Bombyx mori: one gene and its partners. The protein of the gene in region 5 purifies or fractionates together with the protein of the main gene of each other region. This does not show direct contact. Links are inferred from orthologs where the notes say so. Each region holds a gene or a part of one and is shown on either strand. Other genes may lie near its edges.

The links.
Region 1: the proteins of rRNA 2'-O-methyltransferase fibrillarin (region 5) and DDB1- and CUL4-associated factor 13 purify together in Homo sapiens (affinity purification with western blotting; 3 studies listed by BioGRID, with this or other methods). This does not show direct contact. The link is inferred for Bombyx mori from reciprocal best matches to the Homo sapiens genes FBL and DCAF13.
Region 2: the proteins of rRNA 2'-O-methyltransferase fibrillarin (region 5) and ATP-dependent RNA helicase DDX24 purify together in Homo sapiens (affinity purification with mass spectrometry; 3 studies listed by BioGRID and IntAct, with this or other methods). This does not show direct contact. The link is inferred for Bombyx mori from reciprocal best matches to the Homo sapiens genes FBL and DDX24.
Region 3: the proteins of rRNA 2'-O-methyltransferase fibrillarin (region 5) and mitochondrial matrix protein p33 purify together in Homo sapiens (affinity purification with mass spectrometry; 4 studies listed by BioGRID and IntAct, counting the BioPlex papers as one, with this or other methods). This does not show direct contact. The link is inferred for Bombyx mori from reciprocal best matches to the Homo sapiens genes FBL and C1QBP.
Region 4: the proteins of rRNA 2'-O-methyltransferase fibrillarin (region 5) and U3 small nucleolar RNA-interacting protein 2 purify together in Homo sapiens (affinity purification with mass spectrometry; 3 studies listed by BioGRID and IntAct, counting the BioPlex papers as one, with this or other methods). This does not show direct contact. The link is inferred for Bombyx mori from reciprocal best matches to the Homo sapiens genes FBL and RRP9.
Region 6: the proteins of rRNA 2'-O-methyltransferase fibrillarin (region 5) and nucleolar protein dao-5 fractionate together in Homo sapiens (co-fractionation; 3 studies listed by BioGRID, with this or other methods). This does not show direct contact. The link is inferred for Bombyx mori from reciprocal best matches to the Homo sapiens genes FBL and NOLC1.
Region 7: the proteins of rRNA 2'-O-methyltransferase fibrillarin (region 5) and RpL7Ae purify together in Homo sapiens (affinity purification with mass spectrometry; 5 studies listed by BioGRID and IntAct, with this or other methods). This does not show direct contact. The link is inferred for Bombyx mori from reciprocal best matches to the Homo sapiens genes FBL and SNU13.

What each region holds. Positions count from the first base shown.
Region 1 is NC_085118.1:7,564,351-7,568,300, forward strand, and holds the start of DDB1- and CUL4-associated factor 13, read right to left. Parts: upstream 2,801-3,950; 5' UTR 2,582-2,800; coding exon 2,503-2,581; intron 2,424-2,502; coding exon 1,879-2,423; intron 843-1,878; coding exon 676-842; intron 1-675. UniProt on the Homo sapiens protein: Part of the small subunit (SSU) processome, first precursor of the small eukaryotic ribosomal subunit.
Region 2 is NC_085126.1:10,464,072-10,467,571, forward strand, and holds part of ATP-dependent RNA helicase DDX24, read right to left. Parts: intron 3,269-3,500; coding exon 3,139-3,268; intron 1,876-3,138; coding exon 1,743-1,875; intron 1-1,742. UniProt on the Homo sapiens protein: ATP-dependent RNA helicase that plays a role in various aspects of RNA metabolism including pre-mRNA splicing and is thereby involved in different biological processes such as cell cycle regulation or innate immunity.
Region 3 is NC_085114.1:15,032,574-15,035,177, reverse strand, and holds part of mitochondrial matrix protein p33, read left to right. Parts: intron 1-297; coding exon 298-448; intron 449-650; coding exon 651-847; intron 848-2,171; coding exon 2,172-2,260; intron 2,261-2,604.
Region 4 is NC_085123.1:3,098,102-3,102,188, forward strand, and holds the start of U3 small nucleolar RNA-interacting protein 2, read right to left. Parts: upstream 2,801-4,087; 5' UTR 967-2,800; coding exon 1-966. UniProt on the Homo sapiens protein: Component of a nucleolar small nuclear ribonucleoprotein particle (snoRNP) thought to participate in the processing and modification of pre-ribosomal RNA (pre-rRNA).
Region 5 is NC_085130.1:7,816,901-7,821,069, reverse strand, and holds the start of rRNA 2'-O-methyltransferase fibrillarin, read left to right. Parts: upstream 1-1,369; 5' UTR 1,370-1,553; coding exon 1,554-1,566; intron 1,567-1,972; coding exon 1,973-2,143; intron 2,144-2,537; coding exon 2,538-2,616; intron 2,617-3,339; coding exon 3,340-3,442; intron 3,443-3,888; coding exon 3,889-4,059; intron 4,060-4,169.
Region 6 is NC_085128.1:10,883,313-10,887,511, forward strand, and holds the start of nucleolar protein dao-5, read right to left. Parts: upstream 2,801-4,199; 5' UTR 2,486-2,800; coding exon 2,378-2,485; intron 1,690-2,377; coding exon 1,610-1,689; intron 808-1,609; coding exon 678-807; intron 465-677; coding exon 1-464. UniProt on the Homo sapiens protein: Nucleolar protein that acts as a regulator of RNA polymerase I by connecting RNA polymerase I with enzymes responsible for ribosomal processing and modification.
Region 7 is NC_085117.1:6,325,430-6,328,117, forward strand, and holds RpL7Ae (ribosomal protein L7Ae), read left to right. Parts: upstream 1-1,314; 5' UTR 1,315-1,519; coding exon 1,520-1,522; intron 1,523-1,742; coding exon 1,743-2,132; 3' UTR 2,133-2,188; downstream 2,189-2,688.

The DNA of each region.
Region 1 (3,950 bases), on a different chromosome or scaffold from region 5:
TTCTGTAAGTAACATGCATAATGTAAAATTATATGTACACATTATTATCTACTGGTGTGACCATGAAAAACATCTACAGGTTGCTGGTGTCAAGCTAATTATTCTAGTGTACCCACATTTGCATATATCAGTACACAACAGTTAAAACTTGTATTGTCCCCAATCTTGTTAGCCCTGGACAGTTCAAATCTAGTAATGGGATAATGCTTTGATGGCATCTTTAAAGACTTCTAAAAACCACTTTTGTCACTCTGAGAATTGAGCAGTCAGGATGTTAAGTATTAGATAATCAGTAAATTTTAATTATCATCGATTAACAGAGATTTTGATTAATATTAAACCAGATACCACAATTATTTATGACTATAACTTCTACAGAGAAGCCAAAATACACATAACTCAGGAATTTTAACCAGTTTGGATCAGCTAGGTAAATTAAGTGTTCCAATCTGTTAAATGTTCTATAGATATAGTTCTTTATATTATGTTCAGAACATTTATCAGTTTTTTTCTGTATACTCTATATATAGGGTTTACAGAAAAAAAACACAATATTGCCATTTACACAAACATTACATACTCTTGGTCATATATACTTTAGTTTGAATTCAATGGCTATGAATGCTTAACTGGTTCATACATATTGATTGCAAATTAATAAAAATATAAACTAACTTATAGTCTTCATTAGCTACTGTAAAGATGAATGCTTCCATAGGGTTCCAGGAGAGTGCATTGGATCGTAACTCCAATACAACTTTCCTCAGAGGACCAGATTCACGGCAGTCATATAAAATAATACTTCTGTCACTAGCACAAGAAGCCAACAAATTGTATTCAACCTGAAATAATACAGAATTTCCTTTTTGACATCATATCAAGCCCTGTGTTCCCCGTGACCCTGTCTTCCCAACCTTGAATTATTCCTATTATTGTCTGACTTGTAATGCATTCACTGCAATAATATTCTTACCAGATATATATGAGTCGACTATTATCAAAGCCGGCAATGTGACTTTTGTACAATTATTGGTAAATCAGAAAAACGAATTATTGACTTTGTATTCCATTGGCAGTCACAAAACTCTTCTGAACGACATCTTAGATAAATAACAGGTTAAGTATTAACCTTTATTTAATGCAGGTTTTGAACCGTATTCTTTGAAGGAGACGATTATATTCAAATCAATCTGTATTGACATATCAATAAATTTTTTTTGTCTAAATGCACAGATTGCCACCTTTGATAATAGACGACTCATATACAAGGCTTCCTCTATTCATTTCTATAAATCTATTTTAAGTACTGTCAAACCAGAAAGTATAGCTTTGTTGAAAAACAAGGTTATTATGGCATAGGCTGGTTCAAAAATTATCAACATACATAGCTATTGTTGAATATTTCTATTAATAACCATAATAGAAGGGTAAGATATATTGTAATTGAGAGTTCAATCATATCAATATCTCAAGGTGGGACCACTAACTGCTACATACTAACACTTTAATTCTAGTGCATATGCAGCACTAATTAATGCTATATGTATTTTTTTTATTGCATAGATGTGTGGACGATGTGTGTGCTGCTCACAGCCCATCTGGTGTTAAATGATTAGCAGAGCCCATAGACATCTACAACATAAATGCTGCCACCCACCTTGAGATATGAGTTTTAAGCTCTCAGTATAGTTACAACGGCTGCCCCACCCTTCAAACTGAGACCCATTACTGTTTCACGGCAAAATAAGCAGAGTGGTGGTACTTACCTATGCGGACTCATAAGAGGTCCTACCACCAGTAAAATAAAAATAATTAAAATTTTAAATAAAAAATTTAACAATAAAAACATTTTTAAAAAATGTTCATTGACAAACATACCTGGTTAAATGAAACATGATGTAAGCTATCTACGCCCCATTTAAAAACTTTAATCGGTTCATTTCTTGTGTTCTCCCACAGTTGACATTGTTCACCACAGGTGGCAAAGATTGGTTTGTTTCTATGATGTGTTATACCAGACACCACTGACATGCTTAGCAACGTATTAGTGGGTTCCTCATCTTCCTCTGTGACAGCTTCAGCTTTCCACGTTTTAATAGTTTTATCATCACCAACACTCATAAAATGCTTTCCATCTGGATTGTAACATAAAGCTCTCACCCATCCCTCATGAGCAACAAAATTTCTTGTACACTTCCGTACAGTTAAGTCCCAAATACGTACTTCACCATCAAATGCTCCACTAGCTAGAACTGCTAGTTGGCTAGGATGCTTGGCCATAGTAGAAACCCCATCTCTGTGACCATCTAAACAACCAATAAAGGGCTTGGCAAATACCCTCTCTAATTTTACAGCATTCAAAGCACGCACATATTCACGGGGTGCTTCTAGTGGATGCAAGCTCGGGTCATAGTTGCGAGGTACTGGAAATTAGCCTTTAACTGTTAAAATATACAGATTATAATATTTTATCAATGAGACACTTTTGAGCAGTTAACTTACTTTTCTGAATATCTCGTTTCGTAGCGCGCAAATAATCTTCTGGGTTACGACTTATAACTTTAATTTTTACGTTAGACATCTTAATTTGAACTAGTAAACAGACATAAATATTAATTCCGAAAAATTAACAGCAGATTACAAATAAAACTAAGACTGTGTATGTAACAAAACAATATTGTTTTTAACATTAAAATCAGTAATAACACATAATATTAAATTCTAAAACAGGCAAGTATTAAGTACCGTACCGTACTCTTTCATAGAAATGCCATGTGTGTTGTGACTTTGACTGTTGTTTATTTTAAGTGTCAATGTCAGCGTTTTTGTTCATTGATACAGGCGAAAGGAACATAGTATATACCTACATTAAGTTTTTTTCTAAGTAATGTATCTATCTATCTTCTTCTTCTATATATATAAAAATGAATTGCTGTTCGTTAGTCTCGCTAAAACTAGCAAACGGCTGGACCGATTTGGCTAATTTTGGTCTTGAATCATTTGTGGAAGTCCAGAGAAGGTTTAAAAGGTAGATAAATATGAAAATGGTCGGAATTAAATAAAAAAAGGATGCGTGTACTTATGTACGTGCGTAAGAAGTTATACTTTATTTTTATTTTTATTTTTTAAATATTATATAATTAATAATAAATATTTAACGTTAATAATTTAATAATATTTAGTATGAATTATATTAAATAATAATGTTGTCATTTATATTACTAAATAATACATAGGGATAGTTAACCTCAATTGTATTAGAGCACTTAGGAAGGTTGATGAGCACAGCTTTTTCGCAAACATTTTATAATATTAATTAGTATTGATTTAAATATTCAATTTAAATCACTTCTGATTATCATTCAGACGCACATATAAAATTCGCAGTTGTATAATGAAAACAAAATGAAAACACGTGTTTTAAATGTAGAAACTCAAAGCATGTGGATAAATATTATAAATATAAATACACAATGAACAGAGGCGGCGTTCGTGCCAACATGCGCCACTAACAGAGGTTCCATTTTTGTTTTGTTTGTAGCATTTTTTCTTTAGTGGGCAACTTCATTTCTGTTAATTTTGTGTCACGGTGCGCGCGCATTTTTCGTAACGCGCCTAAAGAAGTATAACTTCAAAAAACCTGTGGTACTCAGGAACTGCCGCGGTAAAGCTATTGCATATCATTTTTTATCAACTTATGCAATTATAATTAGACAATGATAATTTAATATTAAAACCATAAAACAAGACCACGCTATATTAAACATTAATAAAAGCAAAACCTTAACTGTCCTCTTCACACTCATAAGCTAGACCGCGCGAGAGAGAGATGGGCAGACTTTTCATGATGCGCATGCAGTGTGACGTCACGCGACGCGCTTATTCACAAACACTACACAAGCGCAACGTGAATCTGTTGAACACGAACTCCATGGTAGGCGGAGTGAGGG
Region 2 (3,500 bases), on a different chromosome or scaffold from region 5:
GTCGTAACTACTGATATGCCGACCTTACTCCACTTTTTCAAACATGGCATCCATTTTATCCGTAATAGGGCGACCAGAGCGACGTGCATCTTTGACATCAAAATTTCCGGATTGAAAACGCTTAAACCAAATTTGTGCTACTCTCACAGACACTGCACTAGGTCCATAAAGATCTCAAATTTTTTTCGCGGCTTGCATTGCTTTTTTACCTTTTTTGTAGTAAAATTTTAAAATGTATCGAATTTCTTCATTAGATTCACTCATCTTGACAGTACGAAAAATAAATAAAAATCACACATTTTCCTAATTTGAATTTGGAATTATCTTCTTTAAAATTTAAACTTTTAATGATACCAAAACCAGCCAGATACAAATAGTATAGCCAAAGAGATTTTATTACAAGTTCATACATGCTATAATGCGAAAAGACTTTTTTCCCAACCTACTATAAACAACAACAACAAAATTGAACAAACAACAACAAATCTAAGACAATGTTCACCGGTGAATTAAAGTTGGAATCCGGGGTATCGCTTACTACCGAGTACCTACCGAGCACTACCGAGTTACGGACCTCGGTCTCGTGTCTCGAGACGGATGCGGCAGCCATGATGTCCATGGGCTCCCGTAGCCATTGAGCAACAGATCATCGTGTGTTTCCAGAGATATTTTGTGCCACGTACCATCCGACTCTAGAATGACCTTCCCTTCTCAATGCTTACGAGCGCTATGATACGCCCTCACCAAATGGGGTTTGCGGAGTTTTATTTTTATTTTTTATTGCTTAGATGGATGGACGAGCTCACAGCCCACCTGGTGTTAAGTGGTTACTGGTGCCCATAGAAATCTACAACGTAAATGCGCCACCCACCTCGAGGTATAAGTTCTAAGGTCTTAGTATAGTTACAACGGCTACCCCACCCTTCAAACCGAAACGCATTACTGCTTCACGGCAGAAATAGGCAGGGCGGTGGTACCCACCCGCGCGGACTCACAAGTGGTCCTACCACCAGTAATTACGCAAATTATAATTTTGCGGGTTTGATTTTTATTACACGATGTTATTCCTTCACCGTGGAAGTCAATCGTGAACATTTGTTGAGTACGTATTTCATTAGAAAAATCGGTACCCGCCTGCGGGATTCGAACACCGGTGCATCGCTACATACGAATGCACCGGACGTCTTATCCTTTAGGCCACGAAGACTTCATTCTCAGTGATAGAGCTGCTGATCAGTATTTTCAAGTGGGCCGTATACGCGTCTGCCTACAAGGGCGTGAAAACTTAAAAAGGACTTTTTGGCGGGAACGCGAGGAGTGAAGTTGTGTGATTTGTTTTATTTTGTGTATTTAGTGTTTCTTCAGGTTTAAATGTGTAATAACGGTGGTTTATTAACTGTTTAATATCTGTGAAAGTGCACAAATGTGGGAAAATGAAACAAAGCCGCTGGACATATCTTCTCGGGATCCTCCAAAAAGTCCACTGAAAAAATCTCAGTAAATGACCACCTTTACTGAGATTATATTTCATCCCATATCACCTCATTTCATTTAATTTCATCCCAGTTGATTAATGTTTCAAATTAATCATCTTCATTTCATTTCATTTCACTCCATATTATCATTTTTCATAAAAATAGGAAAATACATTATAATAAGATATGACTTAAAGGACTTACTTAACAGGTCATACAATCACTTTAAAAAAAAAATGAAAAAAAAATGGCCTTGGTCTAATTCACCTCTGGACGCATCCGATGGAGTTGCAGAACACGATCGTCCTGCCGGGGTGCCTCTTCAGCACGTAGTACAGATACGCATCCTTGTGCTGCACGGAGCACGTGATCCTGCTCTCCGTCAGGGTCTCTGCAGCACCTGTCCCAAGACCATAAGCTGCTTTACTGGTTTCCAGTTCCGTGGTGTCCGACCACGTCTAGTTTAGGGCACGTGGACCACACGATCCCGCAACTAACTCGACGAGAAGACGGTAGTAGTGCAAGAAAAGAATGTTGATCAGTAGACGGTTTTTTTCAACACTGGGGCCTCAAAGCCTTTCCAATTTCACCGGGGCGGCTGTTTTGCTGATTACTTTTCACATTTTCGCAGTGTTTCAGGGTGTTTCGCGAGCACTATGACATGTTCGTCTTCAAACGAGACTTGTGGAGAGTATTTAACGGTAGGCAGCGGCTTGGCTCTGCCCCTGGCATTGCTGAAGTCCTTGAGCAACGGTAACCACTCACCATTAGGTGGGCCGCATGCCCGTCTGCCTACGCAGGCAATATTAAAAAAACCTTGAACTGTTTAAGTTCAAGGAATGCGTTTACCAGGGTCCCTATACGTGCCCCCAGTGCTAAAGCTGCAGGCGTCTAATGACAGTGTCAGTGGGTCGGAAAAATCCTTTTTTTTCCTACCTTAACTGATAGCCTTGAGAGGCTATTTCAACGTAACCTTAACTAGTAGGTGAGCTCACGGGGCTCAAACCTGACGACGTTGCTAACACGGACCCTAGCAAGAGCCGTGCTTCGCAGAATCTACCACCGGATCGGAAACGCGACCCACTGAGAAGATCCGGCGAGAAACTCAGTGGGCCAGTCTACAGTAGGCGCGCGAATTCATGTCCATCCTGAAGAATGCAGTAGTGCTGTGACCTAATTAATTATGGTAATGTCGATAATAACTACCGATTTAGTCAACAGCTTTCAATTTGGTTTAATGTGTAATAACTTAAGGTAATTTTGCAAATTATGAAATAAAATAAATGTGATAAGTAATTACTTATTTATTTCTAATAGAGAAAAATATTTTTTAAATTCCAATTTTATATTCCACTATCAAATGAAAAGACAACTGACAGATCAGAGTCGGAAACAGTATGTATCTTTTTTCAGTAGGTTTTTTTCTATCTGAACTTGTTGGAAGCGGAGTAGTCATGGTTAAATAACACAATAGCGTTAGCGTAAATTTTCGATATCGATAAGCCGCGTCACAACCGTCAGGAGAACACTCGACGTCAGATAAATGGGGGAGGAGGGTGAAGGCGGGGCGAGCTGTCCCCCGCGCGTCGCCTCTGGCCCCGATGGACATGAACTCGCGCGCATACTGTACCTTGACGCTGCGGCACCAGCGGCGTCGGCTTACCCAGGTTTTGCGCGGTGATGTCGACCACCTTGGGGTCGGTCATGCCAATCATTTTGACCAATCTATTGATTTTCTGCTGCGATGTCATCTTGTCCACTTTCCTGTTTAATATCTTCCCTCGCTTTGTCACCTGTTATAGAGAAGGAATCGTAGTAAAAAAAATTACACACCCTTAACTGTCACGTAACTTTAACAGTGTTTTTTTTATTGCTTAGATGAATGGACGGAGCTCACAGCCCACCTGGTGTGAAGTGGTCACTAGAGCCCATGGACATCTACAACGTAAATGCGCCACTCACCATGTGGTATAAGTTTTAGTGAGCTCACCTACTAGTTAAGGTTACGCTGACAGTCACCCAAGA
Region 3 (2,604 bases), on a different chromosome or scaffold from region 5:
ACAGGCACAATGAAATATAGTGTTGAATAGTATAGTTGGATTTTCTCTGTTGATCTGCAGTTATTACTATTCATCATTATAATCAAGAGTAATGTAAATCTAATGTAGTTGTTGTAGTTAATAAAATAGTAGTGAAATGAGAGAAATTAAAAAAATACCTTGTTTGTGTATTATAAACTTGTTGTTTGTTGATTAAAATTCATTACCTACTTATTGAATGTTTTACAGTATTGTAGAATAAATTGCACTTATTTTCATTCTCAATGTACATAATAAAACCAATTTATATAAATTCAGGTGAAAGAGAACTGGTAGAGTTCCTGACAGAAGAAATAGTTGCTGAACGCAAAGCACAGAAGGTCAAGTCTCTCCCTGCTGAAGTCGAAGGCTTTACTGTAAAGGGAGACGGTGCTGAAGTTGTTTTAACAAAGCAGCTTAAAGATGAAACGTAAGTAATGAAATCTTGAGAAGGAGAAATATTGAATAATTTTTTTTTGGGGAAACAGTTGTTAATAAATGTTGCCAAATACTTATTTTACTGCCCAGCAATCTTCGTCAATTTGTTGAAATTCGAAAAACTAAAGAAACAAGCCCACAGAAATATCATTAAAAATAGTGAAATTTTAAGTCTAACTATATATTTTTTTCAGAATTCGTGTCACATTCAACGTTAATCACACTGTGGACTCTGATGACTTTGAGGGTGATGTTCAGACTGAGAAGCAAGAGTTCTCTGAGATGCGTTCCAAACCTCAGTTTGAGGTTGACCTAGTCCGAGGAGACACCACCCTTGGTTTCACCTGCTCCTATCTTCAAGATCCACCTGCAGCTTCTGCTGATGAATATAGTGAGTATACATAAACTTAATTATTTCTTGATTCTGATTAATCAAATGGGTCTAAAGATTGAGTACTAAGAAGTCAAAATAGTCTGTTTACCATATCGACGCTTGAAAGACAAACGTGACTAAGCGACAATAACTGCTTTGTACATAAATGATAGGTAATAACCATATTCAATGCACAAAAAAAAATATTTCTAGGTCTATTAAAAGCATTCCAATCCTACAGCTACTAGCTAGATTCTACTACAGCTAGATTCATTAAAATAAATTTTGTTTTCAAATATTTCAACTTTAAATTAGTCTACTGTAAAGTTCACGCACTGTCGCTTAGTCACATTTGCCTTTCAAGTGTCGATATACAATTTACAAAGAAAAAAGTTTATTTCAGTTTAGAATTTGGTGATAGTGCAAGAATGTGTCAAGACTCACCCTCCCCTTTCCTTTTTTCCCTTTTTGTTTCTGCCATAATACAATTAATATATAACCTCAATCTTAAATATCAAGGTGTCATCATTATTCACTTTTGATCTGTGTATAGGGGTATCAAAATTGCTGTTGTATTAGATGAAGTACTAAAGGTGTGAAGGTAGCAAGAATCCAGTAGATCTGAGCAGCATGATGTCGATGTTTTTTTTTTATTGCTTTGATGGGTGGACGATATCACAGCCCACGTGGTGTTAAGTGGTTACTGGAGCCCATAGACATCTACAACGTAAATGCGTCACCCACCTTGAGATATAAGTTCTAAGGTCTCAAGTATATATTCAAACCGAAACGCATTACTGCTTCACGGCAGAAATAGGCAGGGTAGTGGTACCTACCCGTGATGATTCACAAGAGGTCCTACCACCAGTAATAATGCAAATTATAATTTTGCGGGTTTGATTTTTTGGGGGTTGTTTTGGACCTTCAGGAGGCCTTTATCTAACAGTAGTTGTCTGTAAATTTGATTATTGAAAATAAAATGAAAATATATTAAAATAGTCTATGTAAGCAAAAATAATTCAATTATTGACATTGTTAGCATTGAATCAACACATTATAGACAAAAAAGATCAGAGCTTTTTGCAAATATAAATTATTTGGTATCACATACAAAATACCAGATTATAATTTTTATAGTTCTATAGGGGCAAAAATGATTGAAAATTTCCACTTCACGCAAAAGATATGTTAAGTCGTAAGATTTGTTCAGATCCGGCCATGCTGTAAGCTTTGGTCATAGTAGTTCTCAGAGGCTAGTAGGCTAATGTAATTGCAGTTAATCAACTCAACTTCAACGGAAACTAAGTACTATAATTTAACTACTTTTAAATTGTGTTTTCAGACGATGTGTTCGGCATTGACGAAATAACCCTATATAAGGGTGAATGGAATGACAAAGTGTATGCAGTCGCTGGTGATGTGCTCGATGGGGTATGTTATCTATTCATCTTTATTTAGTATGTAAGATACAGCATCTTGTCGGTTTTATATAATACTAGCCGTACTCGCCCGCTTCGCTTGGGATTTAAAATTAACATTATTATTTATTGTCATTATTATTAGGGAGTCCAACACTCATATAAATATAAGTACATGTATTTTCTACATGGATACTAAGTTTCAAGTCAATCGGCATGGCTCAGTAGTTATAACGGAACATCCGTAAAAACCACTAGATTGATATATTAGTATAGATATTAGTTTCACATATTATTATATCAGCTCAAAAAGATCTGAAAGCCAACCTCTCTATGTGTATTTTCTAGTAAGTAGCT
Region 4 (4,087 bases), on a different chromosome or scaffold from region 5:
ATGTTCTTCATCCAAAAGTTTCACTTCATCAAGACTACCTACAGGGCCATTGAATATTAGCTGTGATTCCTCTACTATTTTCCATATTCTAATTGTACTATCCCTGCCACCAGATGTTATTGCTCTCTCCCTTGTCAATGCATCAATGGATGATATTGGAGTTTGATGACCAAAAAGTGTTTCCACATAAGACATTTCATCTAATGACCAAATTTTTACAGAGCGATCTTTACTTGCAGAGTACATGTCATGTGTATTCTTTCTAAAAACTAGACCTATGATAGAATCTTTGTGTCCTTTAAATGTATGTATATGCTTAAAGGTTATTGGGTCCCAAATTTGAATGTTGGATGACTCGTCGGATGATGCGAGATATTTTGAATCTGTTGATATAGCTAAACTAGTAATGCCACCTTTTAAGAAATTCGAGTGGGTTTTATATGTTAATGTACCAACTTTTCTCTTTTCTTTGATACTCCATTTAACAATCGTGCTACATTTACTGCCTGTAAATACTAAGCTACTATCATTACTGATACAAACACATGTGAGAGTAAGTCGATGTTCTTTAGCTCGTATGACTTTGACATCGCTGTCAGTAGGTGCCTGATATTTATCAGCAAGTTCCAATTTAAGTTTCCCTCTCTGTTCAAGATAATCTCTTTGTAAACGTTTTTGGACTGCATCATCGATCTCCTTTTCTTCGGCTCGTTTAGCTTCTTCTTTCTCAATTTCCTCTAAGTATTTTTTAGCTAACCTTAATTTCTTTTCCTCCACTGTCTCATGATCACTTTCAGATTCTTCTGCATCTGAAAATTTCTTTAAATCTAAGTCACTATCGGACGATTCGTGTCCGTTTTCTAGGTTAGGAAGTGTCGATTTCTTCACAGGTTTCTTTTTTATTTTTTCTCCTTTTCTTTTTTGAACTTGTCTAGATTTGCCTTTGAGGAAGAACGAAGACGACATTTCAAAGGTTTTTAATGAACTTTTGATTTAAAAAAAACAACAATATCAAAACACACACTGCTCCTTTCCTGCCGTGTATCTATATTGTGTGTTATCTATGCATTTATCATAAATAATAATAGTTCCGTTTTTACTACAGGAAAGGCGAAGGTGTCGTACCATACAGCATAATCTTTAATTTTCTTTTATGAAAAATATGGAGCTAAATGATATTGATGAAACATGAAGATGATTTACTTGATACTAATGAATTGGGTTGAAAATAAATGAAATAAGATGACATTTGATGAAATGGAGTCTCAGTAAAATGATGGTTACTGAGATTTTTTGGAAGAAACGTCTAGTGGCTTTATTTGACTTTGCTAAGCTTGTGCACTGTCACTGTAGCTAAAAAGTTGTTCATCATCAGCCCACAGTTGTCCACTGCGGTCATAGACCTCTCCTAATCTACACCATTGAGCCCGATCTTGGACTTTCTTCATCCACCTCTTGCCGGCAATCATTCGGAAGTAATCGCACCACCTAATCAAGGGGCGTCCAACGCTACGTTTTCCGTTGTGCGGTCGAGAACCCACCTGCAACAGCGATCGTTCATTATACGTCACAGCTCACGAGGCTCAAACCTGACGACGTTGCTAACACGAACCCTAGCAAGAGCCGTGCTTCGCAGAATCTACCACCGGATCGGAAACGCGACCCACTGAGAAGATCCGGCGAGAAACTCAGTGGGCTGTGTCTGAGGGTTCATTTACTCGTCGAGCCCTTCGTCGCAAGCGACGGTTTCAACGAGAACGGTGACCGGTGCTTGAGGTACCCAAAAGCACCGTTAGTGGATCGGGAGGAACCGAAATGACGTGTTTGGGGCGACGTCGACTGCTTTCCATTATTTCCGCAGGATCGGGAATGTAGTTACCGGCGGCCACGATGAGAGGGTTCTCGTGTCGTGCCTCTTTATCGAAGTGGCGCATCGACGCAGACACTTACTGATGGACTCCAAGTCCAGGTCGTCATGGAGGTCGACGTTCCTGACGAACCACGGGGCTCCGACGGCTATCCTGCAAAAACGGGATTGAATAACTTGGAATGATTATAAGTGAGTGCGGGCCACGTGAGCGAACACTACACTTGCATAGGTCATGACGGGGCGTATGCAAGTTTTCAAGGCCGCTCGCGACACCGCGGTCTTATATAATAACGAATTCCATAATGTTCACTCCAAACACACGAGTATCATTGCCGAATGAAGAAACTAAACTAGTCAAGAGAAGACTAGGCGCATGTAGTCTGGAGGCAGGCATCGCTGCCATTCCGGTGTGACACGGCCCTAAGGTAGCCTACCGTAATACAGATTCTTAGCACACCTTGCTCTATCGTTACCGTGAGTAGGAATCTTGGAACCCGTAGCTTGCGACGAAAGGTTCGGCGAGCAAATTAACCCAGTTTGTCGCCGGATCGCGTTTCCGATCTGGTGGTAGTTTCTGCGAAGGACTGCTCTTGCTAGGACTAGTGTTAGCAAATTCCTCAGGTAACAACAGGTAGAGAATCAATTTAATTACCTCATTAAATTTATATTTGAAGTAAGACACCGCAAGTCTAAATGTCGCTTAATTTCGAAGACAAATATGTGTGTACAATTCTTATTTTCATTTCCTTATATTACTTTTCTCCTTGAATCAAACTTAGACGTTTTTATTATGAAAACAAAGTGTTAAAAAGTTTGTGTGATGACGACAGTGATCAATTTGTTTTTCTGTCCCTAAAGTACGGCTGACATTTTTAGTGACTGGCAGTATCCACCACTTATTTATCAGTTGATATACTATCTTATTTTCAGAGTATATCGACGCTTGAAAGGCAAACATGACTAAGCGACAATAACTGCTTTGTACATAAATGATAGGCAATAACCATATTCGATGCGCAAAAAAATATATTTCTAAGTCTATTAAAATAATTTCAATTTTACAGCTAGATTCGTTAAAATAAATAAAAAATTCAGGTATTTCAACTTTAAATTAGTCTACTGTAAAGTTCACGCATCATCGCTTAGTCATGTTTGCCTTTCAAGCGTCGATATAGTTTGTATTGGAGAGATAAATAAAAGTCATTTACATAGTTATTATTTTATTTGACAAAAAAACCTACGACAAAATCCTGTAGCTGATCCATGTGTGACGATCTTCTCTTCTAAATACATTGAAAGCAAAAGATGCTTGCTACAAACCTTTTACAGCAAGTCATGCTCAAACTACAAGTTTAAAGGCAATGCACACAAAGGAGGGCAGGGGGTTACCGATAAGAACCTAGACGAGCTCGAAACAGCATAGAAGACTGCAACAGCATACAGGCCAGCGAGCAGCACCGGCCTGTTAAACAAATGCAAATGTTAGTGCAGTCTGTGCTCCAACAACATACAGCCTCTGGGTTTGTTTCTGATGCATTATTGTTCCGATTACTACTAGAAATCTGTGCACACATTTTACTTACTATATCAACTCTTTTGCATCAATATTGTTGATATAAAGTTTGTTTATCATAGGAATAAAGATCTTTTATATACTTACATTTTATATTTTTTTTATTTTTTTTGTAATGCTATATATAGCAACGTGTCATTAATTTTGTACAAAATGCATGTGTCGGTTGGGCAATAAATACAAAGATTTACTCATAACTTTGATACTGCAATTACGGCAATTCCGCGTCTGTCAGCAAACAGCGCACACAACCCCCTCCCCGCACACAGCAACGCTCCACGCGCTCACCTCACGCCCTGAGCATACCAATTCATCAGTTAATCTTGAAGTAATTAAATTTACATACGTAAGAATTCTACATAATACAATCCTGAGTATTAGGTTGGGTCATATTACATTAGTATTAATAGTTATATGCAAATTATTTTTACACTCAGATACATCTTCAACAACCCAGTACTCAATTATTAGCATTTTTAAGTATTAGGGACATTGTTTTATGAAATTTTATCATTACCAAAATTGGAGTTCACAAATTAATGCCCAAGTTAGCCCAAATAATCCTTGTAGTGGTTTAGTCTTCCAGATTGTTTTATGAACCTGAAATAATATCTAACCGCTCCCACATCACATCTAATATTGTA
Region 5 (4,169 bases):
CATTTGAGACGTCAATATTTATCTGATAAATTCGTTTTCAAATCCCTACAAATTCAAAATAATCACATTATTACCAAACTTAAAACTTTAAATGAACTCATAGAATCCTCTTCATTTTGGAAACATAAACAGTTACCATGTTTAATAATTAGCTACAGAAAATATTTGTCTATTCAAACTCCAACTCATCACTCTCATATTTTCCCTCTATTTTGTGTAAACTATATGGCATTGATTTTAAAACCGGATATTCATCTTGACATGGGTGTTTCTAAGTATCAACCCCAACCAAATACTAACTTTAATTTTGTAATAGACCAAGATTGGAATGATTATAACCATATATATACAGATGCTTCCAAACACCCTCAAGGTTGTGTTGGTGTAGGAGTCTATCATTCGCAATCAAAAATAGTTGAAAAGATAAAATTACCATCTGAAACATCAGTGTTCACTGGTGAATGTTTTGGAATATACAAGGCCATAGAATACATTTTGATATTCAAACTAAAGAAAACTTTAATACTAACCGATTCAAAGAGTGCTTTACAGGCTCTTGCAAAATTTCCTTTTAAATCTCAACCGATTTACCCTATTCTCTTAGACTGTAGAAACCTGTTAATGAAATGTATGGATCAAAATCTTATAGTATCATTTGTATGGATACCTAGCCATTGCGGAATTAAAGGAAATGAAATAGTTGATAGAATTGCAAACGAGGCTATCAATTGTGGTGATATTTATTATTTCAAAAATTATAGTCATGATTTAGTTAGTCTCCCTAAAACATATTTGAATAATGCTTGGAGTGCACAGTGGTATAATGGCGTTAAAGCAAAATATTACCGAAGGGTACAACCAACCATTCCTTCCAAACCATGGTTCTACAAATATAATTTTAAACGCCACGAGACTTCCAGTTTGATACGGATGAGATTAGGCCACACGTGTAGTCCGGCACATCTAGCGACGATCGGAGTGCTGGATAGCAGTAAGTGTGAATGCGGTGCGGACATTGGCGATTTAAATCACATTATTCTTTCATGTCCCCTTTTTGATCATTCACTTCTTTATAGTTCTTTATCATCACTTAGTATTCCTTTTCCTATATCTGTACCTTATTTATTACATACAGTAGACCCAGTTATTTATAAAATTATTATCTTGTTCCTCAACAGTTTTAACCTAAAATTATAATTATATATATTATTTATTCTTCCTAATTATATTAATCCTAATCCAATTTTCCTGCCTAAACCTTATCTAACTTATATTTTCTGATTTGATTTTTGCTTCCTAACCTTTATTTTGAAAGTGGCAAATAACACTTGGTGTTGGGTCCAAAAAGAAAAAAAAAAAAAAAAAATCTATGATTACTCTTTTATCTGGCTTGGCAACATCGGCCATTTGAAATGGTCTCATTTCCGGAAGAGGTAGCGCGGCGGCATAGCTCCGCTAGCGTTTTTAAGTTTAATAACTTTAAAGTTGTACCTGGGTAGTTCTAAAGTAGATAAGTTAATTGTGAATTGATGTGAATTGGTTTTACTCTAAGAATGGGCAAACCTGGTAAGTTAATACTTTTTTAATAATATTGTCCGTTAATACCACGTGTGGTTACCGCGTGTACTCGTCCTCGCGTTATGCAGTTTAAGAATGAAATTGTGTAATTTACAAGTTTTCCAAGTACCAATACTGAAATATATCCTGAAAATAAGTTTTAAAAGACCAAAAAACACTATAGAAGAAACTTTTCGAAAATTGCCACTTATTTTCATTCAGATGTAGTAAACTACGCATTAATGTAATTTTTTTAACCATTAGTTATGAATTTTAATAAACAAATTTTAACCAAATTGACCTGGTAACTAAACTGTTACCAATACAAATGCCAGTCTTTTGAGGTTATACGTTCGGCACCACGTTGCGCCGATGCCCGATAATTACAAAGTGTATGTAATTATTTTTTGTCTAGAATTTAATGGCGGTCGCGGAGGAGGCGGCGGTCGCGGCGGTTTCCGTGGAGGTCGCGGCGGTGGCGGAGGCCGAGGTGGCTTCGGTGGCGGCCGTGGAGGCGGCGGTGGCGGCAAGTTCGAGAAGAGAGGCGGAGGCGGGGGCCGTGGCTTCGGAGGTAGAGGTGGTGGAGGTAAGATATTACTTCGATAACCTACTAAAGTGACACCACCACGTGTCAAACATAATTAATTCCCATGAGAGTAAATAATAGTAAAGTGAAATAGATTTTGCTCAATATAATAAGTACCTTTTCGTTATAAAAATAACTTAATGTATATTTTAATATCTAGTTATTTTGATAAAGAAAAGGTGAGCTACTACAAATGCCTATAATAAATTTAGTAAACCATTTAGTTTTCTATTCACATTTATTTCACTAATCAATATGATGATCAAACGGTCCCTCTAATCTCGACCTATTCGTGAAGACTATGATACCACATACCCACTTCTGATTGAACAGCCACTGTGATTTATTACAAAATGTTATGGTAATATTTTATTGAGGAGTTGGTTTGTTTTAGGCCGTGGTCGTGGTCGTGGTGGTCCCCCGAGCAGGGGAGGCTTCAAAGGCGGAAAACAAGTCATAATTGAACCACACAGGTTTGTATTAGTTGATTAAAAATATTGATGCAAATTCATGAAGAGATTCCTTCAAATAACTCTTCTCTTGCTACAACATCATACTAATTTACAAGTAAAATATTTATAATTGAGAGAAAATATTTCAATTATACTCTAGTTGTTATTGGCATACTTATTGCAATTGTCTTTTTTGATCTTGGGCATCTATGTGGTTACTCGTTTGGTAATAGCTATAACATATGTGAAACTTGATATAACTGGAACCCAAGGATAGTTGGCTGAACATATATGCCTTCAAGTGACTTTTCTACATTACATCGTAATACTAATTTATAAGTAATATACGTATAATTGAGAGAAAATATTTCAATTATACTCTAGTTGTTATCGGCATGCTTATTACAATTGTCTTTTTTTATTATGGGTATCTACATGGTTACTCATTTTGTAATAGCTATAACATATACGGAACCTGAATTAATTGGAACTCATATTGACAGTTGGCAGAATATATTTAAACCACTTGTTTAGCATAAGATCAATTGATCAAAAGAGGATCTACAATACAGATTAAAAGGGTTGTTATAATAAGAATTTTTTTAAATGATGTTTACAAACAATAACTTTCGTTCTTCTGAAAGCGAACGCTTGAAGCTAAATTTTGTTTCTGATTATTTATCCTTGGTCAATCGCAACTGACATTAAAAAAAACTTTGTTCAAAGTTTTGGTTTTTTTTTTAGGCATCCAGGAGTATTCATAGCTAGGGGCAAAGAAGATGCGTTGGTCACTAAAAATCTAGTGCCAGGATCAGAAGTTTATGGTGAAAAGAGAATATCAGTTGAGGTTAGTAAAAATAAGTAGAGTTTGTTATACTGAATTGGGTGTAGTATAAAGATCTGTAACAAATTTCATCCAGTTTAAATTTACGTATGTTGTTTGAATGAACTTTTCAATGCAAAGAAACCATTTCATAATAGTTTTGATTGACTGTAGTACCATTTAACACAATTATATTTCAATAGCTTTCATGTTTGACAATTGATGGCTTAGTAATCTGATTTCATGAAATGATAAATCCATGATTAATCTGTATTTTTCAATGCTTTGTGTAAAGAGTATTCATTAACTTTGCATCATTACATTACATTCAAATGATGATTATGGTCCCTCTAATCTAGACCTATCCATGAAGACTATGTCCACATACCCACTACTGATTGATACAAAAAATACTAAAATATGTTTTGTCTTACCAAAGGAACTCCACTAACCGCTCTGGGCAATTTCAGAACGAAGGTGATAAGGTGGAGTACAGAGTCTGGAATCCGTTCAGATCGAAATTGGCAGCTGCAATTATGGGTGGAGTGGATGCTATACACATGGCCCCTGGGTCAAGAGTTTTGTATCTCGGAGCTGCCAGTGGAACAACAGTCAGTCATGTCTCGGATGTTGTGGGACCAGTAAGTTTAAATACGTCACGAAGTTTTTTTTTTATTACTTAGATGGGTGGACGAGCTCACAGCCCACCCGGTGTTAAGTGGTTACTGGAGCGCATATACATCTACAACGT
Region 6 (4,199 bases), on a different chromosome or scaffold from region 5:
TTAGCTGGAGTTGCTTTTGGAGCCGGTTTCTTTTTTGATTTGTTATCATCACTGCTATCATCACTGTCATCTGAGGACTCCTGTTTTTTTGTCTGTGCCTTTAATGTAGGTTTTGACACAGGGGGTTTCTTTTTATCATCTTCACTATCATCACTGTCATCATCAGAAGATTCTTCTTTCTGTTTAATAGGTGTTTTAGAATTAGTTTGTTTGACTGGAAGTTTGGCAGGTGTAACAACTGATTTTTGTGGAACCTTTTTCTCAGATTCATCATCACTACTATCGTCATCTGATGATTCCTCTTTTTTTTGTGGTGGACGTACTGGATTTGTTTTTATTGGTTTAACAGGCTGCTTTTTAGGTTTTGACGTAACATCATCATCACTGTCGCTGTCATCTGATGATTCTTGTTTCTTAGCTGGTGTAATGTTAAGTTTTTTAACTGCTTGGTTGGGCTTAGATGCCTAAAAGTGCAATAAAAATCACATATAGTTGATATCTTTATCAAGGTAAATAAATAAATAAATATTGTATTCTCAGAGGTAGTGACGAATATTGTTATAAAATCACATTTGTTCATTGAAACTTGTTTACATCATTGAAGTTTATCTAAGAAGAAGTACTAGCAGTGTACATTATTTATGATTTTCCACGCTGAAAATTTACTAAATTGTTACCTGTTTTGGTGGCTCATCATCGGAGCTACCAGAATCTGAACTTTCAGCTTTTTTCTTAGTTGCTGGAACTTTCCCATTTGTTTGAATTGTTGGTTTCTTAGGGGCATCTTCTTCGCTCGAGTCACTGGAACTATATTAGCCACAGATTTTGTATATCGAATCTGAATTCTGAGTTTTCTTTATTTTAAAAGGAAACTCATATGCTGATCAGTGCTTTAAAACTTATAATATATTGAATTTTTTGTTGGATACCCAAGATATTGGTAAAAAAAAAGATATTTAAAAATCATTAATCTTCGAGTCAAAAATTAAATAATTTTCAGTTTACCTTAAAAATACTTGTACTAACTTATAAATTGAAGGATAAAATATTTACTTAACTTTTGAGAATTGAAGCCAAAAATACAATACTACTATCTAGAATATTCCAAAACTCATAGATTCTTAGCAAGCACTACTTTATCAATACATTCTAACAAGACTAAAACAAAATACTAAAATAATATGAATCATGTCCAATATTTTTATTGCTTAGATCGTTGGATAATCTTACAGTCCATCTGGTATGAAACAGTTACTGGAACCTATAGAAATCAACAATTTAAATTCCACCACCCACCTTGACAGTTCTAAGGTCTCAGTTTTTACAATACAATGGCTGCTGCATCCTTTATTCCGAAACACATTATTGCTTCATCATGGGAGTAATTCATGAGCATATGTTAAATACATATTTCATTAGAAAATATAGTACCTGTTTATGGAATCAAACACCGGCACACTTGCATTGCTTGATACAAATGCACCAGGCGTCTTATCCTTTAGACCATGATGAATTCTAAATTTAAACAAGATTATTATTCAATTTACACAAGATTAAATGACAGTCTAATAACTGCAATATGATAAAGTAACAATGGAAATAGGCTTACCTTTCAGCTTTTGCTTTATTTCCTTGATTAAACTTGGCAATGATGTCTAAGAGGGTCTGTTGGTTTTTGGCACGTGGTTTCTAAAAAAAAAATTTTACAAGCTACTTAGTAAATTGTAGTTATTTATACCTTTTAATACTCTGAAATAATTAGATATTTTATTGTAGCGTCCCACCTTAACATTAGACATTGTATTCTCAAATACAACACAGCAGTACCTAGTCCACATTAATTAAATGGCTGCTTTAATACAGAAATGGGCAGATCAGTGCTCACTATCAGCAACCATGAAAGTTTAGAATTGTGTGACTATATATGTTGGATCCTGGTAATGTTGTTAACAATGAATTAAAAAAGGGTCAACATCTGTTATTATAAAAACCAGTACCAGACCCACCACGAAATCTTCTGAGGCAAACAGGTGTCTACCAATGTCGTCGGCATGTTTAAAAATGAATTGCTCTATAGTTTTATTCGGTGGCATTTTATACATGTTAGTATAATAATTTAGGATCCAACAGAGGACCGATGTCTGCGGAATAAATGACGTTCAGCAAGAGACCAATTAAGCCGGCTGCCGCATGTGGGGCGCTGATACAATGTAGCGTGCAACCAAGAAAAACTGCGATGCTTAGCGCGAAGTTAATGTTTTATTAGGGTATCTTCTAAACAGAATCGCAAACGATCAATACAGCATGTTAACTCCCGAATTACACACAAAATTTAAAAAAAACACGTGTGGAGGCCCCACGTGGTTTATATACTAACCGCTTTAGTTTTCTTCATGAAGGTCTGGGCCAGCGATTTGTCAATTTTTTCTAAATACTGGTGAACTAAGGAATTCACATCCGCTTGAATTTCTGTAGTTAAATTCATTTTGAAGTTTTTGTCTAATATTTAGTGAATCTCCTTATTTCCGGCTTCAACAGTGTAAACCACGCCGCCACCGTCAACTATCTTGAAATGTCATATGCACTCGCGTCAGTCAGAGTTACTATTGGTCAGAGTACCTACCGTATCCATAGACCTACTTCAGTGACCGTACCGTAGTCGTCACATGTCAGAGAGTTTCCATTTTTCCAACAGGAAAGGCGAAGGTATCACGCTTTTACATATATGCTTGTTTTTTTAAAAATTTAAATAAGGGGCTATGTTATGAATAAAATTAAGCGATCTGGGTGAAATCTGAGACTGTAATGAATTGGGATAAAATAAAGATTCAGTAAAATGATGATTAGTTACACATTTATACGCTTTGATAGAAGTTAAACACTTAACAAGCCACCGCTATTCCACGTTTAAATATTAAGAAACACTAAATTAACAAAATAAAACATTTCATACAACTGGTCGCATACCCACCAAACATTTTGTCAGCGATGTTAAACCAAACTGTTTCTTTTGCTAATCCAATAGTGCGAGAAAAATGTATGAGAATTTAGTTTTCTTAATCTAATCTTTCTGTTTATAGGAGAAGTGAAAAGAATGATCTTAAATGAAATCCTGAGATGAAAAACTCACTTAAACTCAAATTACATGTTTTGGAATTGACCAATATTTTTAATTAGTGCATCATTCTTAAGGTAATTTAAACATTATGATCATCGCGCCGTTATCATACAACTACTGCCATGACTTATTATCATTTTGGTATTGTTTAATACTATATAACTTTCATTATTTATTACATAGTATTCGATAATAGATTGTTATTGAAAAGCCGATACTGTAGCTTAAGTAAGGAAAATAAGGAAAACTATTTACGCTTTAGGGTTTTTAATAAGATCCAGAAGACCAGGTTTTAATAAGAATTAGGTGTTGAGGTATAGCACTAGCTGCGTGTCGCCGTACTACTAATGTTAACTCGTTACCATGGTTACATTTTCTTCTTATGAGATGTGTCGTGTGAATAAAATATAATTTGTAATAAAAAAAACAGAGTCTGCTTAATCTTCCACATAAAATCTTAACACTAAGTATTGTCAATTTAGCGTTTCTTCTCGTTTAAATATGTAATATGTATTTGGTTGACAGACGTTTGGTTTCTAGGATTATACAAGTGGGAGAAAATGAAAAGAAATCGCTGAAAATTGTTTCAAAGGCTCTCTCAAAAAATCTATTAATCTCTGAATAACTTTTACGATTTTACTATATCAAGATAATATTTCATTTCATCTTATCTAACACCTAAGGTGTCCTGTGATCTACCTTATTTAATTTAATTTCGTAATTATTAATGATACGGCATCGGTCTTTTGCTCTATGGGTCTCGTTCATTTTACCTTCCATTAGGAACAATAGGATCATAGCGACCGTCTCAAAGCTGTAGACGTTGTAGCATTGTATACATAGGTACTTAAGTTGTAGTGTTGGATTGTTTTTGGCCAATAGGTCTGTTACCAATGCCAGTAAAAAAAATAAGGCTGTTTTATGTCAATAAAAAATTTCTACATTTGTATATTGTGTAGATGGTGTAGATACATAACTACGTTTTGTGCTGGCAGTGTTATTTTTGGAATTAATTTTAGAATTGTAATTGTTTTCGCGTGTCGTGCGCTTAGTAAATAACAAATGAGAAAATGTTGCTCGT
Region 7 (2,688 bases), on a different chromosome or scaffold from region 5:
TTATAACACGAACAAGTTTGGTCAATTACTCTTGTTATTTCAAAAATCAGATACATTAAAGTGCTGTTTTTAGTGAATCTCTTGTGATGGATGACTTGTTCAAAATCTTCTGGAAAAAATGGATGATTAGACACCAACTCTCTACTGGTGATAGACTTTTATTTCGTGTTTAAAGTTGGCATTAAAATTGTGATTTCTATTTATTGTATTTGATCTATTCGCTGGTAGCTTCTATGGCTTCGGTGCCCACCTAAAGACAGGTGAGTTCTGAGTCATTTTAGTCATCTCTTCAGTGTCCACTTCAGTTTTGGTGATAACGCGTATTGTGAACCCAAAGAGTATCAGCTTATCAACACTACTGGTAGTAGAGCCTCTTGTGAGTCCGCACGGGTAGGTACAATCACCCTGCCTATTTTTGCTGTGAAGCAGTAATGCGTTTCGGTTTGAAGGGTGGGGCAGCCGTTGTAACTATTCTGAGACCTTAGAACTTATATCTCAAGGTGGGAGGCGCATTTACGTTGTCGATGTCTATGGGCTCCGGTAACCATTTAATACCAGGTGGGCTGTGAGCTCGTCCACCTATATAAGCCTTAAAAAAAAACCCAGTCAAACCCTTAGCAGTAAAAAGTTCGTTAAATACGAACAAACTTTGGCGGGAACGCGAGGAGTGTAGTTGTGTGAGTTGTTTTATTTTGTTAATTTAGTGTTTCTTTAGGTTTCATTGTGTATTAACAGTACTTTATTAGCAGTTTAATATCTGTAAAAGTAGACAACATGTGAGAAAATTAAATAAAGCCGTTGGACGTAGCTTCTCGTGATCTTCCAGAAAGTTCCCTGAAATAGTCTCAGTAAATAACCACTATTTTACTAGGACTAAATTTCATCCGATATAATCTCGTTTCGTTTAATTACTTCCCAATTGATTAATGTCAAATTAATCAACTTCATTTTATTTCGCTCCATATTATTGTTCTTTAAACTAATTTCATTTAAATACAGCATTTACAAAAGATTAGTCTGTAGGATGTGATACCTTCGCCTTTTTAGTGGGAGAAACAGAACTAAGTACTACATTACTGTACCTATACGAAAAGTCATAAAATTGAAATTTGAAAAAAAACTCGTAATTGAACTATTTAGTAAGTCGTTATAAATATTTTGTTTTTTTTTTCAAACGTTGGGTAAATTATTCTGCACCATACATTTAATTTTACATAAAAAATGACTACCCTATACTATTAAAATGTAAAGCTGTATAATTCATGTTGCCTCTGATTATTAAAATGAAAAAAAATATAACCAAAAAAACAAATGTCAAAGAAGCCACAACCCGCGTGTCTTTGAAACAACAGTATCAGAATCGTTAATAATATTTATACACAAAATATTTGTGATTTAAGTGTAGAATTGTGGCAAATACCTAAATTTTCTCTCCCTTACGTGAAGATTATTTCCTCAGTGAAGCGAGAGATCGCCGAGAGGTTGAGTTTTATTAATTCAACACCGCGGCATTGTAAACATGGTAAGTTGCACGTGTTAGCGATCTTCTTGGTATTAATTTACCTATAATAAGTCAGTTTTTTCATTAATCAGTTTCAAATTGAAACTTTCAATCATGTGATATCCAAAATACGGTTGCAATTTGAACTCATGTGAATATTTGAGGTTATCTTGAGATTGATTACATTCTAACTACCTAGAACATCTAAACTGTTCATAACTTTAATAATCTACTTTCACAGGCTGAAACCGAAGCTGCAGTGAACCCCAAGGCATACCCATTGGCGGATGCCGCCTTAACCGCTAAAATCCTGAACTTGGTGCAACAAGCTACCAATTACAAGCAACTTCGTAAAGGCGCGAACGAGGCCACAAAGACCCTTAATCGTGGTCTATCTGAGCTCATCATAATGGCAGCAGATGCCGAACCTCTCGAAATTGTTCTTCACATTCCAATTCTGTGCGAAGATAAGAATGTGCCATATGTGTTTGTTAGGTCTAAGCAAGCACTCGGTCGTGCTTGCGGTGTTTCCAGACCCATCATATCTTGCTCGATAACCATCAATGAGGGCTCACAACTAAAGCCTCAGATCCAAACTATTCAGCAAGAAATCGAAAGACTATTAGTTTAAGTATAAATAGACGTGTAAGGAAATTATTTTGTGTCGAATACAATATTTTAATAAAATAACGTATTTTATTTATTGATGCTTTTAGGAACAAAAAGGACCAGGATCTTTTGCTATTTAAACATAAAAAGTAGAACTTTACAATTATGAACTTTTACAATTGTGGCATCCTCCCTGATAATCTTTTCATCAACAAGTGCTTGTGTCTATTCAAACAGTACAGTGAAATGGTTTTTCAGTTCGATTTGAAGTATAGGACAGCTGAATTACAATGTTATCTACTGAGAATTTCACGTGATATAGGTGATGACAATCACTATGTGGTGTAAATACACTGTTAACTGAACAAATAAGGCACAAGTCGTCTAAAAAGAAGCTACATTTGTTTATAAAAAAATGGAGGTCTGCTTTGTTTCCGCTATATAAGTACAAATATTCTTTAGCAGTAGCAATTTTTTTGTTCACATGCCTTTGTCAATAAGCAAAGATATAGATTTTTCCGCTTTCTATTGAAGTTAAATTCTTAATCGCAAATCGCATAAAGCCTTAAATAAAACCA